2 linked regions of the Coturnix japonica genome follow. The protein of the gene in region 2 purifies or fractionates together with the protein of the main gene of each other region. This does not show direct contact. Links are inferred from orthologs where the notes say so. Each region holds a gene or a part of one and is shown on either strand. Other genes may lie near its edges.

The links.
Region 1: the proteins of RNF19A (region 2) and SOD1 purify together in Homo sapiens (affinity purification with western blotting, with the first as the bait; 3 studies listed by BioGRID). This does not show direct contact. The link is inferred for Coturnix japonica from reciprocal best matches to the Homo sapiens genes RNF19A and SOD1.

The regions. Positions count from the first base shown.
Region 1 is NC_029516.1:94,144,662-94,148,574, reverse strand, and holds the start of SOD1 (superoxide dismutase [Cu-Zn]), read right to left. Parts: upstream 2,647-3,913; 5' UTR 2,507-2,646; coding exon 2,432-2,506; intron 2,025-2,431; coding exon 1,931-2,024; intron 1,324-1,930; coding exon 1,254-1,323; intron 1-1,253. UniProt on the Homo sapiens protein: Destroys radicals which are normally produced within the cells and which are toxic to biological systems.
Region 2 is NC_029517.1:116,328,232-116,332,144, forward strand, and holds the end of RNF19A (E3 ubiquitin-protein ligase RNF19A), read right to left. Parts: intron 3,054-3,913; coding exon 2,910-3,053; intron 2,550-2,909; coding exon 1,859-2,549; 3' UTR 349-1,858; downstream 1-348. UniProt on the Homo sapiens protein: E3 ubiquitin-protein ligase which accepts ubiquitin from E2 ubiquitin-conjugating enzymes UBE2L3 and UBE2L6 in the form of a thioester and then directly transfers the ubiquitin to targeted substrates, such as SNCAIP or CASR.

The sequences.
Region 1 (3,913 bases), on a different chromosome or scaffold from region 2:
GACAAGGGCGGTTTCCCCTTTGGGTGCTTATTTAAGCTTCTAGGAGATTTTAGTACTGGTTTCAGCTCCAGCCTTACAGAAGCACGGCCTAGTTCTTAAACCTTCACACAGAGTCCCCAGCCTACAGCTGCTTGAGCAGGCAGGTTACATCAGCAGCAGGATCTGACAGAGAATCAATAGAAGCACGCTGCTCGCGTAACTGACCTTTAGCATTAGAGCACCCGGCTGCCTGTGAAGCCCTTCAGCTACCACTGCACACTGCTTTCATCCAGACACCTACCACTCGACTTACTTCATCTGACAAGTAACTGATCAATAACAGAAGCTGCAGGTACAGGCAAAGTACCTAAAACCATGACCAACACGGCCAGATTAACCACAGTGATTGTTCAGAACCTACCTCCGAATGATCAAGTCACCTTTAAGACTTGCACAAGATCTAAAGACCAGCATGACAACAGCACCTTCCCAGTCTCAGAACCCAGAAGCATACTACTGAAACAACTGCTCAGTGGTCTCAGACACCACACAAACCCCTCAGACACTAAAGGTCCCCCAAAGGTAACTGGGCTATTTAACTGCTTCCCAGTAAGAATTCAGTCTCAGCTTCCTCTGACAGAGGGCTATGAAGCAAGGGCAGAGGCATTCAGTGCCAACAGACCAGTACTTACAGCCAGCACACAACCCCTACAGAATACATCCCATAGGCAGCATGGTACCTACGGTAAGGTGTTAAGAAAAACCCAGCACACCAAATGAACATCCACTGTGCCAGGCACTCAGTGTTGTGCCCATCTTGCAGCCTCCCCAAAGCCCTAGTGAGGATCCTCACAGACCACATGACAAGCCTACACACAGCTCAACACAAGACATTTATAGGGCCACTGCTGTCAATAGCTAGCTCCAAAAGAGAAGCAAGGCACCACGAGAGGTATTAGTACATGACCTTCCTTCCCCTTCTCACTTATCTCCTAATGAACATTCACTAACAGCCCTTATTATTTCCCCTTCACCCCAGGCTATGATAAGACCAGAGCGCCAAAGACTGCATTTTGCACACACTCTTAGAGCCAGGGTATCTAAAGCACTGCTGTATGATCACCAAGTACCTTCCTAACTGCCCTCAGAAGTCCTGCTGGAACTGCTAGTTTTCCTCTAGCACTATCCTAGCAATTAGTCACACATCAGCCTCTCAAGCTGAACTTACACAACTACTGCACTGCACAGTATTAGGTCATGCCCATGACACTCACCTATCTGCATCTTTTGGTCCACCGTGCTGCTTGCCTTCAGGATTGAAGTGAGCACCTGCACTGGTACACCCTGAAAAAGAACAACCACCAAAAGTAGATTCATCACAATAAGCAGATAAAGGCATTGCTTATACTGCATGTGAACTTAGTTCTCCTACAGTGAGAGGAAGTTAAAATCATTAATGATGAAACAGCTACTCTCCAGCTGGATCTATAAACACACAAACATTACTCCAAGTTCAACAAATCCACGTGACTCATTCCAGAATAATCTCTGCCAGATGAAAGTTTCTCCATTTCTTAACACCAGGTTAAAAACTAGGTCAGAAGAAGTACTTAGGCCAGTGCTTGACATACCAGACCTTGAAGAGTAGCCTAAATGCGTTCAAAGAATGTTGTAAGAATCAGTTCACAGTATCACAGTCTCATGCAGGTTGGAAGGGACCTTAGAGATTATCAAGTCCAACCCCCGGGATTCGAGCCTCCTGTGTAGCAGAGCGGCACTTCTACCACTGCACCACCGGAATCATGGTTTCAAATGTGCTTCAAATGTGCCTTAGGAATCATGGTTTCAAATGTGCAGTCATAAAACATACGCATGCTGAAGATGGTTGCTGCTGTGCCACTAGAAGCAGCTCCTTGTAGCTGTAACTCAGCAGCTTGGCCAGGCACCTTACCATTTGTGTTGTCCCCAAACTCATGCACATGGAAGCCGTGATCTCCATCAGACAAGCCAGTAATTTTGCCAGTAACCTTTACCGGTCCGCTACCCTGTAACACAAAGAGCTGATTACTACTGACACCACTAAAGCATCACAGAGCCTCATTACAAGCAAAGCTTCCAGGTCAATAACAAAAACCAGCTACCAGTGCAGAATAACCTGAGCTGGAAGCGAGCCCTGAACATCACAACGTATGCCTGAGAGCGTTGTCCAGACTCTCCCTGATCTCCAGCACTGGGGCCGTGCCCACAGCCCCGTGCATCCCGCCCCATACCCACCGCCCTGTGGTGCAGCCCCTTTCCTTAACTCAAACCAACCCCAACCCGCTGCTCTCCCTCCCCCACAGGCACCATGACCGGCCCCGCCCCCATCCCGCACCGACCCGCGGTCGCACGATGACTCAGCACCGCTGCCGGTCAGAGTACGATCAGATCCCCCCCCGCTGCCGGGCCTTGCCTGCTGCTGGAAGTGGATGACCCCCTCCACGGGCCCGTCCCCCTTCATCACGCATACGGCCTTCAGCGTCGCCATGTTCCCTCAGCAGCACGAGAGGGCGCGCACCAACAACCCCGCCTACAACTACCCGAGGGCTAACGGGATCGATGCTCCCGCGGGGTTTATATACCGAGTCCGTCAGCGCCGCGGGCCAATCACAGCGCGTTCTCTGGTCTTCTCGCGCAGTTACAGCGCGAGGTGCTGTCAATCAAGAGGGAAAGTGGGCGGTGCGGAGGGAGAGCCAATCAGCGGTGCGGTCTCATGGGCCAATGGGAAAGCGGGACACCTCCAACGGTCGGGCTGGTTGTGTAACCGCCGTTCTCCATCATTGTGGCGCTGTGCGGTCTGTGCTATGGCCGTTATCTCTGTTACTTACCTCAGGTCCCTCAGACCCTGCGTTGGGTGGATGAACGGACTGTGGTGGGGAGAGCTCAGTGTGACCTTCAGTACTTGAAGGGAGCGTATAAACAGGAGGGGGAATGGATGTTTATGAGTGGATAGTGATAGGACAAGGGGGATGGTTTTAAACTGAGACAGGGAAGGTTTAAGTTAGATATGAGGAGGAAGTTTTTCACACAGAGGTTGGTGACGCACTGGAACAGGTTGCCCAAGGAGGCTGTGGGTGCCCCATCCCTGCAGGCATTCAAGGCCAGGCTGGATGTGGCTCTGGGCAGCCTGGGCTGGTGGTTGGCAACCCTACACACATCAGCAGGGTTGAAACTACATGATCACTGTGGTCCTTTTCAACCCAGGTCATTGTATGATTGTGTGAATAGCTCAGGAGTGGGGGTAGTCATGATGAAAGAAGGCTTGTGGGTTGAGATAAGGATGGGGGCAAAGCCTGCCCGTTAGACTCAGGCAAAGCACGCTTGGTGTGGGGAGAGTTGTGTTATTTGTGGTCTACTGATAACAGACTAGAGCAGTGAGAACTGAAAGCAAATATTATTATATATACTATATTATCTCACATTCATTATCATATTTAGTTAACTACTTTTCTCCCTTAGTTCACTGCTGCTGTTTTGTTTCACACAGAATCACAGAATTGTAGGGGTTGGAAGGGAGCTCTAGAGATCACCGAGTCCAACCTCCTGCCAAAGCAGGCTCCCTACACCATGTCACACAGGTAGGCATCCAGGCAGGTCTTGAATATCTCGAGAGAAGGAGACTCCACCACCTCCCTGGGCAGCCTGTTCCAGTGCTCTGTCACCCTCACTGTAAAGAAGTTCTTCTGCACATTCGTGCAGAACTTCCTATGCTGTACTTTCATACCATTACCCCTAGTCCTGTCCCCACGCACTACTGAAAAGAGACCAGCCTCACTACTATGGCTCCCACACCTCAGGTATTTATAAGCCTGGATCAAGTCCCCTCTCAGCCTTCTTTTCTCAAGGCTAAACAGACCCAGTTCCCTAAGTCTCTCATAGGGGAGATGCTCCAGGC
Region 2 (3,913 bases):
GCAGCTCCTTGCAGCAGCCGCACAGGTAAGTGTGCAGGTGGGCTCTGAGTATCTCCAGGGGTGGGGACTCCACAGCATGTGTGTGCAGCCTGTACCAGTGCTCTGTCAGCATCACAGTGAAGAAGCTCACGTTCCACTTTGTGCCTGTTGCCCCTTGTCCTGTTGCTGGGTGCCACCAAAACGAGCCTGGCCCCATCCACTTGACTCCCACCCTTCAGATATTTATGAGCACTGATGGAATCCCCTCTCAGCCCTCCCTTCTCCAGGATGAGCAGCCCCAGCTCTCACCCTTTCCTCACACAGCAGAGGCTCCGTGAGGCCGCCTGCACGCTGACAGGACCACTCCAACTCAGTACATAGACATTTATTTCAGATATGCAGTTTACACGCATATTACTGAGCAAAACTGAATTGCAAATATACAAATACCGTAACAAGCATTACCCAATGACGTAACTGGCACTAGTGTTATAAGCATGTAATGAAACTGGTGAGGATAAGTCGTGGAAGAGAACCGCGGCACACGGCGTTTTCTTTTCATCCAACCCAACTCCCAGTAGCACCATAATGGCAATACACTGAACACAAGACAGAACATTGGTAACTGTTTTTCTGATATTCACAACTGTTTTTTTTTCCCCCTCCCCCTCATTTTTAGTGATTTACATAGCAAAAAGAAAGAAAAGAAAAAACAACATTGGACAGTGCAGGCGCTTTGGCCAACTTCAGCTCGTGTTTATCTGTACATCTTCTGTACGCAGAAGAAAAGTAAGCCAGCATGTCTGGACGCCACGGTGGCAGCCGGGCAGTCACTGCCCTGCACTCCAACTCTGGGACTGAAGATGCACGTCTTGCAAAGAGATGTCACGTGAAAGAAATCATTCACGAAAGCCTGAGTGAGTCTTTGGTAGGCTAATACTCCGCTATCATACAGTTCTCTACCAGTCATTTACTCGCTAGGATTTTCTATGAGGATCGAAGGTGGCCAAAGAGGACATTCTGAAAATCCTCCACCAACCAGGCACTTCACACCCAGTCTTTTCCAAGGCACCGAGGATTGACGGGGCACCGCATTCCCCCCTCATGAAAGGTGGCTGCATCTGCTTCTCTGTGATGCTCATCAATCAATGGATCGTTACCTTCCAGGTTTTACACAATACGCGGCGGCCTCATCTGCCACACGGTTGGTTGTGTGGATAAATAAGTGAGCCCACTGTCTCCATCCCACTGTGTATTATGTACCAATTTCATCTGCTTCAGAATGCTGTAAGACGCCTTACCCTCGCTCAGAGCTCCTGACACAGGGCCGCACCACCTGGAGGTACGCGATCCATTCCAAACAGCGTGTCCAGTTATAAACCGTTAACCATCACTGGGGATATTCACTGCTGAAAGACGTTTGTACAGGTCTCTGCAAAACTTCTGCTTCCCTTACAGTTCTTGGTTGTAAGTCACTAATGCTCAGCTAACACCCACTTATCCCACATCCCCTATTTTTTGAGCCAACAGTGCAGGACGTATTATTTATTTTAGCATTTACCATATCGAGAATTACCCAATTTTCATCTAAATACACCAAGTATACGCTTTCAAGCAAAGTTGTGGCAAAAATAAAAAATAAAACATGGACGTATTTGTACTGCTGTAATGCACTTGTTAAAGCCTTCATGTCCCTTCACACAGGTCTAAGATCTGTATGAAGTAACTCTGCCTTAACGGACAGGTATATAAAATGCAGCTGTATCAGAACCTCGCTTCTGCCGGTCACCTGAAGCTTACGGAAGTTGCCGCACGTAATTAAACCAGCTTTCAGACAGGGCTCATTAGTGGTAAATGTGTTTTTGCAGCATTTTTTGGCTTAAATTTCAGTCTGAATAGCAGTGCTTAATTCCGCAGCACGCTGTGAATGGTTGTTGTTCGCTTCTTTCAGAGTTTCATCAACACCTGGACCTAGGTCTGTTGCAGATCCATTATTAATGCTTTCCTCAGCGATGTAACTCAGCTGCTGAACATCGGTGCCTGCGGCTGCTGGGACAGGCGCAGCGATTCCACTCGCCTGTGGGGAGTTTTCCAAGCGGTCGTTCTCCACCTCAGGGAGCACACTGACCGTGGTAAAGCGAGTGTGATAGTCGCTGGAACCGTGGCTACAGGAAGTTTTCATACTTTCCATATCTGAGCAACTGAACTCAGAAAAATGACTCGAGTGAGAATCTGCTACGGATGGAATACTGTCACTAAGAGAGGGAGAGTCAAATTCACTGGAGTTTGTGCTTTGTTGTTCCAACAGCTGAGCATCCATGTCCTCTCTTGTCTCATTTATCTTCATGCTACTCTTCTTTCTCAGCTTCCCTTTGCACTTTTTCCCCGCTGTTGTTTCTTTGGACCACTTGGTGGCACTCGATTTACTTTCTGGCACGCCGGCCGACGAACACGCAGCGTTGCTCCGACCTGCAGCACTGCCATCATCAACACTGCTGCTTCCGCTGTTGTGTCTGAACTTGGCTGGCTTTGATTCAATATCCACTTGCACTTCCATGCTGTTGCCTTCCCTGCAACAAGAACAAACCTGAGTGTGAGCAGTTACCTACAACACGCAGCTGACACGGTGGAACAAACTCTTGCAGCTTTCCAAAATACACTGCAAAAGCAAGTGAGAGAAACGTCTCCGGTTTTTGTTCACCAAGTAAACAGCCCAAACAGAAGCAGGCAGCCTGAAAATGAAACACTTTACTGAGCTACAAAGATTGTGCTGCTCTTTGGAAGTAAGCTTGGCAAACAGAAGCAATTGTGTGGAATTCCATTTCTAACAAAAAAACTGTTTCTTCAGAATTTTAGACAGAACCGCTGAGGCATGCTTAGGATACCTTTAGTAAGCAAGGCTTAACCTTCTCTTTTCACCTTTCTCTTACCTGTCCAAAGGGATATAGGAGTTGAGAATGGATCCTGCCATTGCTTTGGTACTGGCATTATCACTAACTGTTCCCAGGCTCACCGTGCCAGATTCTCCACTCAGGCTGTAGCGCTCTTTCTGTACATCTGCTTGTACTTCCAGCCTTGGAGAGGAAGAAAAAGAGCTGCATGAGCTGCTACTACAGTTAAAGCACCCTAGCTGAGAATTACCGTCACCTTGTAAAGTTTCTCCGCTGCGCAGCAGTGAGCACAGTCACACAGTTAAGAAACAAAATCAGATGAAACTGCCAACAAAGTAAAATGTTGCACACAAAACCGAGGCTCTGTGTTATTTCCTCCCCGAAAGTTACAAAAATGAGTTCCAAGCTGAGCTACAATTCCTTTGCAGATAACGTACCGTTCTCCAAAAACAGAGAAAACAATTGAAAGGGCACACAAATTCACAACAGTTCCCATGTCGTCCCACTGCCAAATCCTGACTTATCAAATAACAGAACAGTGAGAACTGTGTTCTGTACTCGGCTTTGTTGTACTGCTACCAATGTCAACAGAAATACCAGAAACTTGAAAACACAAGTAGATAAAACAGAATAATAAGCATCTTTCCAAATGCCTTCTTGTGTTCTGATGGTGAATTGGAAGTGCTTGCTTTGCTTTCCTCTCCCAGCTCCTTCAAGAGGAGGACAGGGATACCTCAGCTAGCAGTCTCAGCTTGGAACACGTGCTCTAGACTAAGGAAGCTCTCAGTGTTACTCTGCCTTCCTTTTTCTAAGTAGCCTGGGCCTGCAAGCTATTTAAATGTGATGCTAAACACTGCTCATTTTCCTCAGGAGCAAATTCCTTCCAGAACCCTACACATGAACAATCCTTTCCAAGATACTCCCTGTCCCCTACAGACAGTAAGACCCCAATTCACAGCAGACACTAAGGCAAAGCTAAGGTGTTCAGAAGGGGTAATTCTGTACTTCAGACTTCTGAGCAAGTCAGAGCACACAGTGTTGGC